Arabidopsis thaliana: one gene and its partner. The protein of the gene in region 2 interacts with the protein of the main gene of each other region in a pairwise test. Each region holds a gene or a part of one and is shown on either strand. Other genes may lie near its edges. The genes, in order: ABCC5 and AT3G61340.

Region 1 (8,006 bases), on a different chromosome or scaffold from region 2:
TCGCTGAGAACCAAAACTAGGTCACTGTCTATAACAGTTGGTATCCGGTGAGCAATGGTGCAGACCGTGCAGTCTTCAAACTCTGTTCTGATTATCTTCTGGATCAGATTGTCTGTTGCTGTGTCAACCGATGCTGTTGCTTCATCAAGAACAAGTATTTTGGCTTGTTTCAGTAATGCTCGTCCAAGTGACACAAGCTGTCTCTGCCCTACACTCCAGTTATCTCCATTTTCCAGTACTACTCGGTTTTGAGCCAAAAAAATCAGTAGAAAGAAGCGAAAAAGACCCGGGAAAAAGAGAGGACTTTTGATGTAAATAGTTACCTGGAGAGTCAAGTTTTAGGTCTTTTCCTCTAACAACGTCTCCAAGCTGGGATTTATCAAGCGCCTGTCAGCAAAGTTGGGTAAATCTCTAGAATCAAACTCCAAATCTCAGAGTTTAGTGTCTAAAACATAAACAAGATAAGAGTATCAAACAACATATTTATAGATACCTCCCAGATTTTATCATCTGAATGTTCTTCAAGTGGGTCAAGATTTGCTCGGATTGTTCCTTCAAATAATGTAGGATCTTGAGGTATAATCCCAAGGCGACTACGAAGATCATGAAGACCAATTTGAGAAATGTCAATGTTGTCAATAGTAATTTTTCCAGCAGTTGGCTCAATCAATCGAAACAAAGCTTGAATCAAAGTCGACTTTCCGCTTCCCGTTCGCCCAACAATCCCAATCTTTTTTCCACCCGGAAACACACAGCTCACCCCATGGAGTACTGTTGGAAGATTCTCAGCATAACGAACCTTCGAAAAGAACGAAGCAATAAGAAAGCAGGGAAAGGAAGTGCAGAGAGGTAATAAAAATAGTATTTTTGAATAGTACCTTAACATCAACTAGCTCAATTGTTCCCGTTGCAGGCCACGAGGAAGGCGGGCGGAAATCTTCTATAATTGCTGGGGCCTCTCCTACAATCTGACTGTACTGATAAATCCTTTCGATTGAGATTATTTTGTTTTCAAGCTTACAAAAGCTAAGTATCCATCGTGATAGACGTCCATTCAAGTTAAGTCCATATGTCACAGCAAGACCTGCCATGCCTATTACAACAGGAACATCAATATTAGAAAAACCGGCTGCTCGTTGATGCTTTTTTTGTTATAGTAACTAGAGATACTTACTTGGATCAATGGTTCCATGTGGAAAACTGACGAGTAAAACCATACAGAAAGCAAATACAAGTGTGGAAAGTAATTCCATGCGTAAACAAAGCCATTCGATAGCAGCGATACTGCAGAAGAAAGGTCGAACAAAACAATCTAGAAGATAAAGATTCCTTTTGATAAATCTTTTTTCCTGGCCAAATCCTCTTATTGTGGCAGCACCAGCAATTGATTCTCCAAAAAGATGAATTATTGGAGACTTCTGGATACTAACTATCCGAACCAATTCTCTTGAAGAAGCCATGTAATATTTCTGCATTTTATTTCAATATAAACTAAATTACGAAAACAATCTTTCACAGTTATTCAGAGGAAAAATCGAAAATAGATTTACCTGCATCCAAAAGCAAGCAACAGCTACCGGAACAACAAGAAGGAAAACTTGCCAGGTAACATTGGTCATTACAGCGACAATGCCACAGAGTTGTATTGTTGTTGAAGCAAACCCACCGAGTCTAAAAGGAATGTCAAGATCTACAACACTTTGATCAATAGAAACCTGCACATCAATAAAATCCCCAAAATCAGAAAAGTAACACAGAAACTGTGGAATTTGGTTATAATACCACATCTACATACCCGATTCAAAATTCTTCCTGCAGGAGTGGAATCAAAGAATGACATTGGCGCTCGGAACACACTTCTGAGCATATTTAAGAACAGTTTCTGTGCAGCTGCAAGACCAAAAGTTGCAACCAGAGCAGCTCGAACAAATATGAACACAGAGCTCCCGAAAGCTAAAGCCGTATAAACGATGAGAAGCAGAGTAGGATCCACTTTAGATTCGTCACCTTCAGTTTGAGGATTTGCCCAAGCCATCCACCAATTACTAGCAATCTGAAGAAATTGGAAAGCAGCTTGTGCGAGTATAATAAGAGGAATCAGAGCCCCTTTATATGCAGCACCCATGTATGACAAGTACACCTTCATGCTGACTTTTCCCTTTACTCGTTCCTCTTCTTGAACAAGCTGCTTTTTGCGGGAACGCTTAGCTTTCTTCTTCTTCTCTTTGATTGCCTTTAGATCTGAAGCAGATCCTCCCTCTTGTACTTCCTTTGCCAAAGTCTCGATGTCATTTTCAAAAACATCAGACTTTGGATTATGCAAGACCAAACTATCGCGAATAGGATTTTCATCAGAGTCTTCTGAGGAGGGACTTGGGATGTCCATTGCCTCGATTGCTTCATGGTGGGCAGACACTAAGGCCTTAAAATCAGTACCTGCTTGCAGCAGATCATCATATTTACCCGATTGAATAATCCTGCCTTCCTTCAGAACCTTTGAAACAACACAAATAAATATTTCAGAGCTTATCATAACGGAAACAGTTTGGAAACTCCTTCAACAATTTTACCTTTCTGCAACAATAGAGATAAGTTCATCACAGGCTGGTAAGCTAAACACCTAAAAGAGACCCTTTAGCAATTCTAAAAGGACCAACAGTAGCCAGAATTAATGTGTAGTAAAACCGAGAAAAAAGAGTTTCTTACCAATATTAGATCAGCTGCAGGGAGAAACTCAACTTGATGCGTTACAAAAACCACAGTTTTCTCAGCCAATGCAGATAGAATATAATCCTGTATAGCCATTAATAACCGTGTTACGCAAACGTTCAAACTCAAAATATGAAAACATGACTTGAATAGCTTCTTACCCTAAACAAATCAGAGCCAGTGTGTGCATCAAGAGCACTAAAAGGGTCGTCTAGTAAATAAATGTCAGCATCTTGATATAATGCCCTTGCAAGTTGTACACGCTGTTTCTGACCTCCGCTGAGATTTATACCTCTCTCCCCGATAATAGTTTGGTCCCCATGTGAGAAAAGCTCTATATCTTTCTTTAGGGAACATGCTTGTATCACATTCTTGTACTTTGTTTTCTCCATTGGACTGCCAAATAGAATGTTTTCTTCAATGTTACCAGACTGAATCCAAGCCGATTGAGACACATAACCAGTAGTACCACATATTCTAACCTATATAACAATTATCAGCAGTTGGATCAATGATAGCTAAGTGAATATAAGAAAAGAAAAGAAAAAATAGTGAAGCAATTGAGACAAACACCCCAAAACATTAACTTACTTCGCCAGAGATTTTTGGGATTTCCCCTAGGATGCAAGAGATAAAACTTGATTTTCCAGAGCCAACTGTGCCACAGACAGCCACACGCATACCCTTCTCCACTTTCATCTGAATCCCAGATAATGTCGGCCTTGAAGAAAAAGGGTCCCAACAAAACACACCATCTTTAATCTCTATGGCTATATTCGAAAGTCCCCGTGGAATAACAACAGTTGCATCTTCTTGAAGTTCTTCCTCCTGCAAGAACCCAGAAATCCTATCAAGAGAAACCTTTGTCTGAGCCATCATTGAAACCAGATCAGGAAAGTTCCGAAGTGGCTCCTGAAGAATTCTGAATGTCGCCAGAGCAGAAAGAACACCTCCAGCGGTAAGTTGAGTGCCTAGAAATATCGAAGTAGCGAATGTAACTGCGGCGACAAAAATGGGGGAACTCCAAAAGATAAAAGTAACAAAAGCCTGAGAATATAAGGCTTTGCGAAGCCAACCATACTCCTCTTCCCTCATTTCTTCCAATCTCACTCTATAACGATCTTCCCATGCCTGCAATTTCAGAACTCTCATGTTCCTAAGACACTCTGAGGTTTTCCTCATTCTTTCATCTTTCGCAGTCATCAACTTATCTTGATAGTCTTCCTGGACCTTAGCGAGTGGAATCGTGACAAGAATCGAGATTATTGTAGCAACCAATGTAGCTACAGCAGCTATGCCCACGCTTTTATATAGGATTGCAAGAGCAAGAACTATTTGCATCGGAAGCATCCAAATATCATGAAGATACCATGAGTAATCTCCTATGCGCTGGACATCGACTGCCATGTAGTTTACAATTTCACCGCTCGTGTGGTTCTGCTTGGCTATACTTGAAAGTTTGAGACCTTTTCGGTATACCATTGCTGTAAGAGCTGATCTAACATGCATCCCTAGGATATCAACACCCATATACCACTGGCGGGTGGTGACTGTCTCTATAAGCTTGGACGTAAAGAATATCCCAGCGAGTACGTATCCTTCATGAGGGAAAATCTCCTTCCCTCCAAGATAATCAACAAAGTAGCTGATCAAGTAAGGACCGACATAGGACACAAGAGTATTCAACCCAGCAAATACGGCATTGCAAGCAGCTTCTTTCCAAAATGATTTCATAATTGCACGAGCTAAAGAAGGAGGCTTTGAAGGATTCTCGGACTTGCATCTCTTCCAATTCGACTTCAAGACCTTGTAACTTGATTTGGCTCTATCTCTTGGTGCAAGAAGCGGTATATCCTTAAGCTCAAGCGGTCTTTTTGAACCAGCCGAGAGAAGTGGATCCAACCATGAAAGCGTAATAAGGCTAACTAGCCCAGCAGTACTATATGGAGTAACTTTAAGACAAGCTGCCTCTTCTTCAACAAGCAAAGGCTCTTGAAGATCAGAGGAGCTTCTGGTAACTTGAATACCAGAAACGCCTCTCCAGGCCAGAAAGCAGAGAAACCCAAGAGCAGGTGTAACAGCTAAATTGGCGACAACATGAGAAGAACATCTGCTCCAACCTTCAATGGCTAGCCTTCTTCCATCGACATACATAGTACAGAGGCAAATCGAAAACGCCAGGAACCACCATATCCTCACCAAGAAGGGTAGCTTCTCTGAAGACTTGTATTTCAAATGAAGAACTAAGAAGCTAAGGACAAACCAAGCTAAACTCTGAGAAGCTGGAAAGCAAAGAACAAACCAGTCACTGACTTCTCTTCTAACCTTAACCCCATCATATACTAACACCAAAACTTGGACGCCTAACACATATAAGCAACAGAGCAAAGACAGATTAAACCCAAACCCAACACTAACATGGTTAACCTCTCTTTCCAAGCTAAGATTAGAAGCTGAAACCGTATCGTCCTTAGAGAGCCTATCTCTGCCTCTTCTCACGCAGACGAGAATCTGCCTCGCGGAGACAGCAAATAGAAAGACAAGAAAGAGTAGGAGGTTGATGATGACCGAACATAGTTCCAGTAGTGGCAAATGCTCTCGAAAGATCAACGAGATCTCAATAAAATCCATGATCGGGAAAGATTTGTGATAGAGAGTTTGTTTAAAATCAACAACCGGCGGATTGTTCGAGATAGAACAAGCATCTCACCACATCCCAAAGCTCGTAGCTGCAGAAGAAGAAAAAAAACAAAGGAGAGAGAGGCGATGAATCTTATATTTCAAAGTGGAATTGACACATTGCAAATCAAAACAAAATGAGTTTCTCTGCATGACCCAACACGTAGAAGCGATCACAGAGATACAAAAATACAAACAACAAACAAACAAACAAACAAACAAAAAGGAAACTTTGGCTCTCACCAGCTCTTAATAGATCAAAATCGATATTTCCCAGAGAAGAAGATAGAGAATGAGAAGAAACAAATCAGCTGAAACCAGACGTCACTTGGGTTCTTGAGAGCAATCGAGAAGAGAGATCTCTCTTCTCTTTAATTAAAATCAACAAGAAAAAAATTAACAATTTCTTCTGTTTCTCTCTAATCCTTCATTCGCCAACGAAAAAAAATGCAAAATTTATTGGTTGGATCGATTAAAGATTGTGCAAAGTAGTGGAAGAAGATTGGGAATTTAATAAAGGAGCTTCCTTTGCCTAAAATAAAATAAAAAATAAAGGTGGTTCCTTTGGGCTTTTTGGATGCTTTCTCGTGGACTTACTGTTTTGCTTAGTGTGTGTGTTAATAATAAAGCCGTAAGCTCTTTGTGCGCTCACGATGCTTGACGTCGATGCGTCAATGTGTCTGTATGTGATCTGACTTTTTTGGTGATTTCATTTTTCAATTGTCTTTACTCTTTATGATCAAATTATTGTATTATTTGACCATATATGTTATCAATAAAAGCACTTATCATTAAACTTAACCATGGTAAGCAATGAATCATATTCCGATTCTTTTACGTTTTTATTCTCTCGATTCGTTTTATACGAAATCGCCAATCATAACTCAAACGAAAGAAATTACCATTTTGCTAATCTAAGCTGTGTCTAATTAATTGTGGGATACAATGGAGGAGGAACCTTATACGGTCCATGGAATATTCTACACGTGACGTGATGAGTATTATGTATTGTCTACAAGGCTACAAATATTACTAAAATAAAACTGTATAGGTGTCAGTATATTACAAAATACTATATAATCACTGGTTTATCAATTCCTATGTATACACATTGAGCTTTTTAAAATTCATTTGTAGAAAGTGGAGACATACACGTTATCGTTTCAATACATATATATAAAAGAAAGAAAACCAATCTATCATCTCTGCACCAAAACAATGAGACAAATGTGTCAACTTGATTAAAAGATATAAAAGAATAGCGTAAGAGTATGAAATTAATGACTTTATATATAGTCCAAAGATCCAAACTTATACTCACCACCAAATTGTTCGTATGTACTAATACTATAGTATAATTACATGCACTCTTGCTCTCAAGTGAGAGAGTGTGAGACTATTCAGATAAGCAACTATATAAGACCAACAAAAGATGATTTTTTTTTAATTCTTGCCCGTATGTGTTTATTTGTTTGTTTGTTTGGACAATATGCGGATGACGACTTACTACACATGCCATTCATGCAAGGTAATGCGTCTTACGTGGCATACCATTTTCTAATACATGTATGATTAAATGTCAATTATTGCTGACTATGCAGTAAAAAATGTGTACGTTAATATGTCCTTTGATTAATATATTACATTTGGTTATACACGGTACGTCAACACATTTCTAGTTCGCAATAGGGAATTCTACGTTCTTCCACATATAGTATTTCAAATATATATATAGACTGAATCTTCCTTCTTCCAATCAACTTATATTCTCACGAATAATAGAAATTAATTTCAACTATATATGATGATGTAACTTGGAAGAATTAAGGAGATGATGTAACAATCTAGAAGCCTTGATAGTGTATTATAATGTTATACATAAATAATGACAATTGTAATATAGTTGTTAATGCTGCGTAGTTTTTGTCATTTGCGTTTGTTTGGTATAGTAATGGCTTTGTTCAAACTTTTTTTGTACCACTTTCGGTCCATGCCAGCTCACTTTCCATTATCTTTCGTTTGCATAAATACAAATTTCAAAAAGGTAGCTTTTCTTAGATGAAAAAAAAACAGTATATATGTTGCTCAGTTCATGAACACTGTATATGAACCAAATGTCGCTTACGTATGCAAATTGTTCAATTGAGGAGGACAAACAACAACAAAAAAGATAGTGGAACATGCGATCTTCTTTAAGTTCAAACCGTGTGTAACGTGGATAATGATAGTGGTGCGTGGTCCTTTAACAAAAGAACTAATCATAGTGTAATATACCTAACACATTTCTCTCACATGTTATCTATTTGTTTTAGGTGTTGACATATGACCTAAAAGAAGCCTCTGTATTGTTGCTTAAACGCAGGCACTGCCTGGAATGTTAACAGGGCTAATTGCGAGTTATAAATATTCAGTTGTTGTAAGTCTTATCAAACTATTATTGTCTATTGATGATTTAACAAATACCAAGCCAAACACAATTTAATTCCTATCGCACTATTTTGGTAAGGTGATTGGTGATTGGTGAATGTGAATTCAATACTAAATGATGTTACAGATTGTACGGGCCAAGTTAGGCCCATTGAATGGCCCACCACCTTAAATTCAACTATGGTACTAAG
Region 2 (4,264 bases):
ATTTCTAGAATCTTTTAAGGAGGTGGAAATGATGATATTTCTAGAGAAAACTCTAGAACTTGGATTTGGCCATAATTAATTATTGGATAATTGATCCAATAATTAAACTTGATTCAAAATCAAGTTTAACTTTCAACATCGTATAGAAGATACAACACTTTATACCAGTTGATAGGTAAACGTTTGTATATCTTCCTTTTGTATATGTTTATGTTGTATATATAATATGCAGATTCAACTTTTTACACTTTTACATAAGTCATAGTTTGGGTCAGGAAGCCAGTTATACCATATTTGCTTTATTTAGAATCCATTTACTATCTCTTGAAACTAATTCTTTAGCCTTGTTGTAATGTTGTTATTGCACCTAAATGAATAAGAATATGAAACTCATCTAAGATAATTGGCAAAACTGCTCATGAAAAGAAGAGTTTTAAAAAGCTACAAAACTTGAGCCAAAAGCAACCATGACTCAGAAGTGTATGTCTATTATTCATCTACAATCTCGGAAACTAAAAATTACCAAAAATCTTATATAGAACTCATATTACCAAAAATTAAAAAGGATATAAATAAACTAGGGTTTTGAGGGGTGGTACAAATTCGTTAGCTCTATTGTAGTTTGCTTATTAAATATCAGACACAATTCCCAAAGTCTGATTGCTCGTGAAATTTTATAAATAGCAAAGTATTTGAGCTTAAAACAACCATGTCTTACAAGTGTATGAAATAAAAGACGAATACCATCACTAGAACATAAAAGTAATCTGAGAAAATAATAAACGGGCTATGTTATACGAGCCCAAAATCCTGAAAACTTTGACACAAGCTTCACATCCTCCAAATGGGTACAAGGTTAACATCCTCTAAATGGTCAAGAAAGGTGTAAGCTTTGTGACTCTGAAAAGTTTCCATTCCTTTGATTTTAACTATAGTGATAGTGTTCCTATCGGGATTGTAATAGAGAAGGTAGAAAAAGTCGGATATAGTGTTTGGGGACAACACAATTTCACCTTTACGAGTCGTTCCAACGAAACATAACTTGGTCTCTTCATATACATTCCTCCACGGAGGAGGCAAAACGTAGATATGACTTGACCATTCGTGTTTCTCCGCGTCTTCAAGAACCCATAGTTGAATACCGGTGCATACGTTGTTAGGCATGTTGGGCTGAAGCTTAGCTAATTTACCCTTGTAGTTTACTAGAATTGAATTCAGCCGCCTTCCCAAGTACAATATTTCCATGTCATGACCAGCAACTTTCTTGATATATTTGAATTTGTCAGATCCAAACTCAAAGCATACTACATCAGGATACCTGTCGTCAGAAACACCATGGACAATGGCTAAGTAATACAAAACACCATTGATGCATACCCCATCATATTGAGAAAAGCCATTAGTATGCTCCACAGGAACAGGATAATGTAGTATGTCACATTCGATCATTTTCCTTGACGGTTTCTTCCCGGTTTCTAACGTGTGAACTTGATGCTCTTCAGAATCAGCTCGTCCTATACATGAACGCGTCATGCATAATACTTTGAAATTTTTGTCGATCGGATCAAACCCCAAAAAGCTTATCACTCCTTTCCTCCTTGTTTTCACTTTACGTAAGACCACGGATTCCCCTGTGCTAGGGTTACATATCAATGGCTCAGTAACCGTCGTTCCCTTTGTAGTTCGTTGATGTAAACCACATAACCAGCCACGAACAGGACGACAAATATTAGAGGGACAGCTAATCGGGAAACTCATATGCAAATTTGCGGCTATAGGAGACAGATCTTGAGGATGTGGTGATGAGAAGAAGAACGTTTCGCAGTCTTTTAGGCATGTAAACAAGATCTTCGGACGAGACGAAGATATGGTCAAGTAGGACTCGGTGAAATGCTGACCTCGCAATGTGGACTGCCATAGCTTCGATACGTAACGAAATCTAGCTATAGACTTGACAGGCAATCTCAAGAGTATCTCGATTACGAGATCGAACGGGATCCGTTCGGATTTCTCTTCTTCTTTCTTTTGATTCGAACAAGATCGTTTCTTGCGCCGTGTCATCATGGTGGAGGCGGCTTCTCTTAAAACCCTAATGACTTTTTTTCTCCCTTCCGTCTGATTAAACCTAATAATAATCATAACGCTTAAAACGTGTCTCTCAAGATCCTGGGTCTTTCTGATTTAAATGAGAATATAAATGCCTACATGTATAAAATTAATAGTATGAGGGTATGGCTGCAAAATAATTAAAAAATGAGCTGACGATTCAAAACGATGCCGTTGTGGTTTCTTAGAAGAAAGTGATCGTCTTCTTCTTCGCCGGGAAGCTCACAAACGGAATATACTCTACTGTTCCTTGCGACGTGCCCTGAAGGTAACTTCTTCTAGATTCCTCTCAATTTCTCATCTTATTTCTTACTTTTTCCTCAGTCTCGTTTCTTCTGAGACGATTTAAGATCTGTTTCGATTCTGATTTTATTTATTTATTTATTGCTGGAGTTGTAGATCTGATTGTATGTGTAGTGGATTTGATGTAATTGCTGACGGGTTTGATCAGTGGACTGTGAGAGTTAAATAATTTGGTTTGACATTGGATCTGTACTTGTTGGAATTCGATCTGTTTCTTCATCTTTGAATGTTTGATTTGTTGTTATGGCAATGCTCTTGTTTATCTTCAAATATCTTGATTAATGCTGCTCTTGATCACAAAGGCCACTTATGTGAATTGCTACTTTAAGTTAGTATAGGGATTAGCCATATCTGAGCCAGTGTTTGTCTCTCTTTTGGTCATGAACAGGATTTTGTAGAATCAATTCACAATGGCGTGTATAGTAGAGGATCCACAACGTGCAGGTCAATCAAATGAGACACAAATTGCACTTATAAGCGGAGTTCCTGATGATATCTCAAAATCCTGCTTAGCTAGAGTTCCAAGAGAATATCACATGGCAATGAAATGTGTTTCAAGGAGATGGAGAGATTTTGTGTGCAGTGATGAAATGTGCGACTATCGAAACGAGTTTAACTTGGCTGAATCTTGGATTTACGCGTTGTGCCGCGACATATCTGGCGGTGTCTTCTTACACATGCTGAATCCGTTCTCGTCCAGAAGGTCATGGAAAAGAATCAATGATTATCCATATATCCCAATGAGAGAAGGCATGGGTTTTGCAGTATTGGGTAAGAGACTGTTTGTGTTGGGTGGATGTGGTTGGTTAGAAGATGCTACTGATGAGATTTATTGCTATGATGCTGCTATGAACACTTGGTTTGACGTAGTACCTCCTCTTTCAACTAAAAGGTACTAATATTTCTCAGGATTCTTAATCTTGCCATTAGCAGCAACCAGCTCGATATTGTTCTTTCCAGCCCTTGATATTTCGATTGCATATGCAGATGCTACTTTGCTTGTGAAACGCTGGATGGAAAAATTATTGCAATTGGTGGGTTAGGATTGAATCCAAACGCTAAACGAACTTGGGACATCTATGATCCTTTGACCAGAACCTGCAAATCTTGTTCTGATGTGAATATTGTCCCTGAAATGGAAGATTCATTTGTAATGGATGGAAGGATTTATATTCGGGGTGGTGTTGGAGGATCTTCCACTGCAGTCTATAGTGCATCTAGCGGGATTTGGGAACGTATGGATGATGATATGGCATCAGGATGGCGAGGTCCAGCAGTTGTTGTGGCAGGTGATCTCTATGTTTTGGATCAGACTTTTGGAGCTAAGCTAACAATGTGGTGCAAGGATACGAGAATGTGGATTCATATCGGGAAGCTATCTCAATTGGTGATGAAGCAGCCTTGTCGGCTTGTATCTATTGGGAATAGTATCTTTGTGATTGGTAAGGATTGCTCTACTGTGGTAATTGATGTTGAGAATGTGAGGAAGAATAAGATGAATGGAGTAATGGTGTGTTCTTCTATACCAAAGACTTGGGATGATGATATAGATGTTATTAGCTGTAAATCTGTAGCCATATAATGTCTAGCTCTCTCTACTTTTCTCTTGGCTCAAAATTCTTCGTCCTTGTAAACAACATATGCTGTTTCTGTTGTTCATGTAAATTCACAAGCTTGTCTGAATCACACAAATTATTGTCTTCCTGATTCATAAACAACAACCCCCAATTCAAAATCTCAAAATTGGGTGATAAAAAGAGTTATACGAATGAACATACTAATCTCACAATGTGGTTGGTCTGCAGACAAGAGTGATTACACTACAGTGAAGCTACTTCTACATTAGCTGTATTTC

What was found.
Region 1: the proteins of AT3G61340 (region 2) and ABCC5 interact in a protein complementation assay, tested with the Arabidopsis thaliana proteins (one large-scale study listed by BioGRID).

The regions. Positions count from the first base shown.
Region 1 is NC_003070.9:1,065,057-1,073,062, forward strand, and holds the start of ABCC5 (multidrug resistance-associated protein 5), read right to left. Parts: upstream 6,025-8,006; 5' UTR 5,632-6,024; intron 5,439-5,631; 5' UTR 5,341-5,438; coding exon 3,301-5,340; intron 3,192-3,300; coding exon 2,871-3,191; intron 2,794-2,870; coding exon 2,707-2,793; intron 2,495-2,706; coding exon 1,796-2,494; intron 1,716-1,795; coding exon 1,551-1,715; intron 1,470-1,550; coding exon 1,175-1,469; intron 1,094-1,174; coding exon 879-1,093; intron 800-878; coding exon 494-799; intron 388-493; coding exon 324-387; intron 239-323; coding exon 1-238. UniProt on the Arabidopsis thaliana protein: Pump for glutathione S-conjugates. Involved in regulation of K(+) and Na(+) cell content.
Region 2 is NC_003074.8:22,700,384-22,704,647, forward strand, and holds AT3G61340 (F-box and associated interaction domains-containing protein), read right to left. Parts: upstream 2,148-4,264; 5' UTR 2,140-2,147; coding exon 832-2,139; 3' UTR 651-831; downstream 1-650. Other genes in the region: SKIP4 (SKP1 interacting partner 4), read left to right, coding at 2,820-3,301, 3,397-3,991; AT3G61360 (Tetratricopeptide repeat (TPR)-like superfamily protein), read right to left, coding at 4,247-4,264.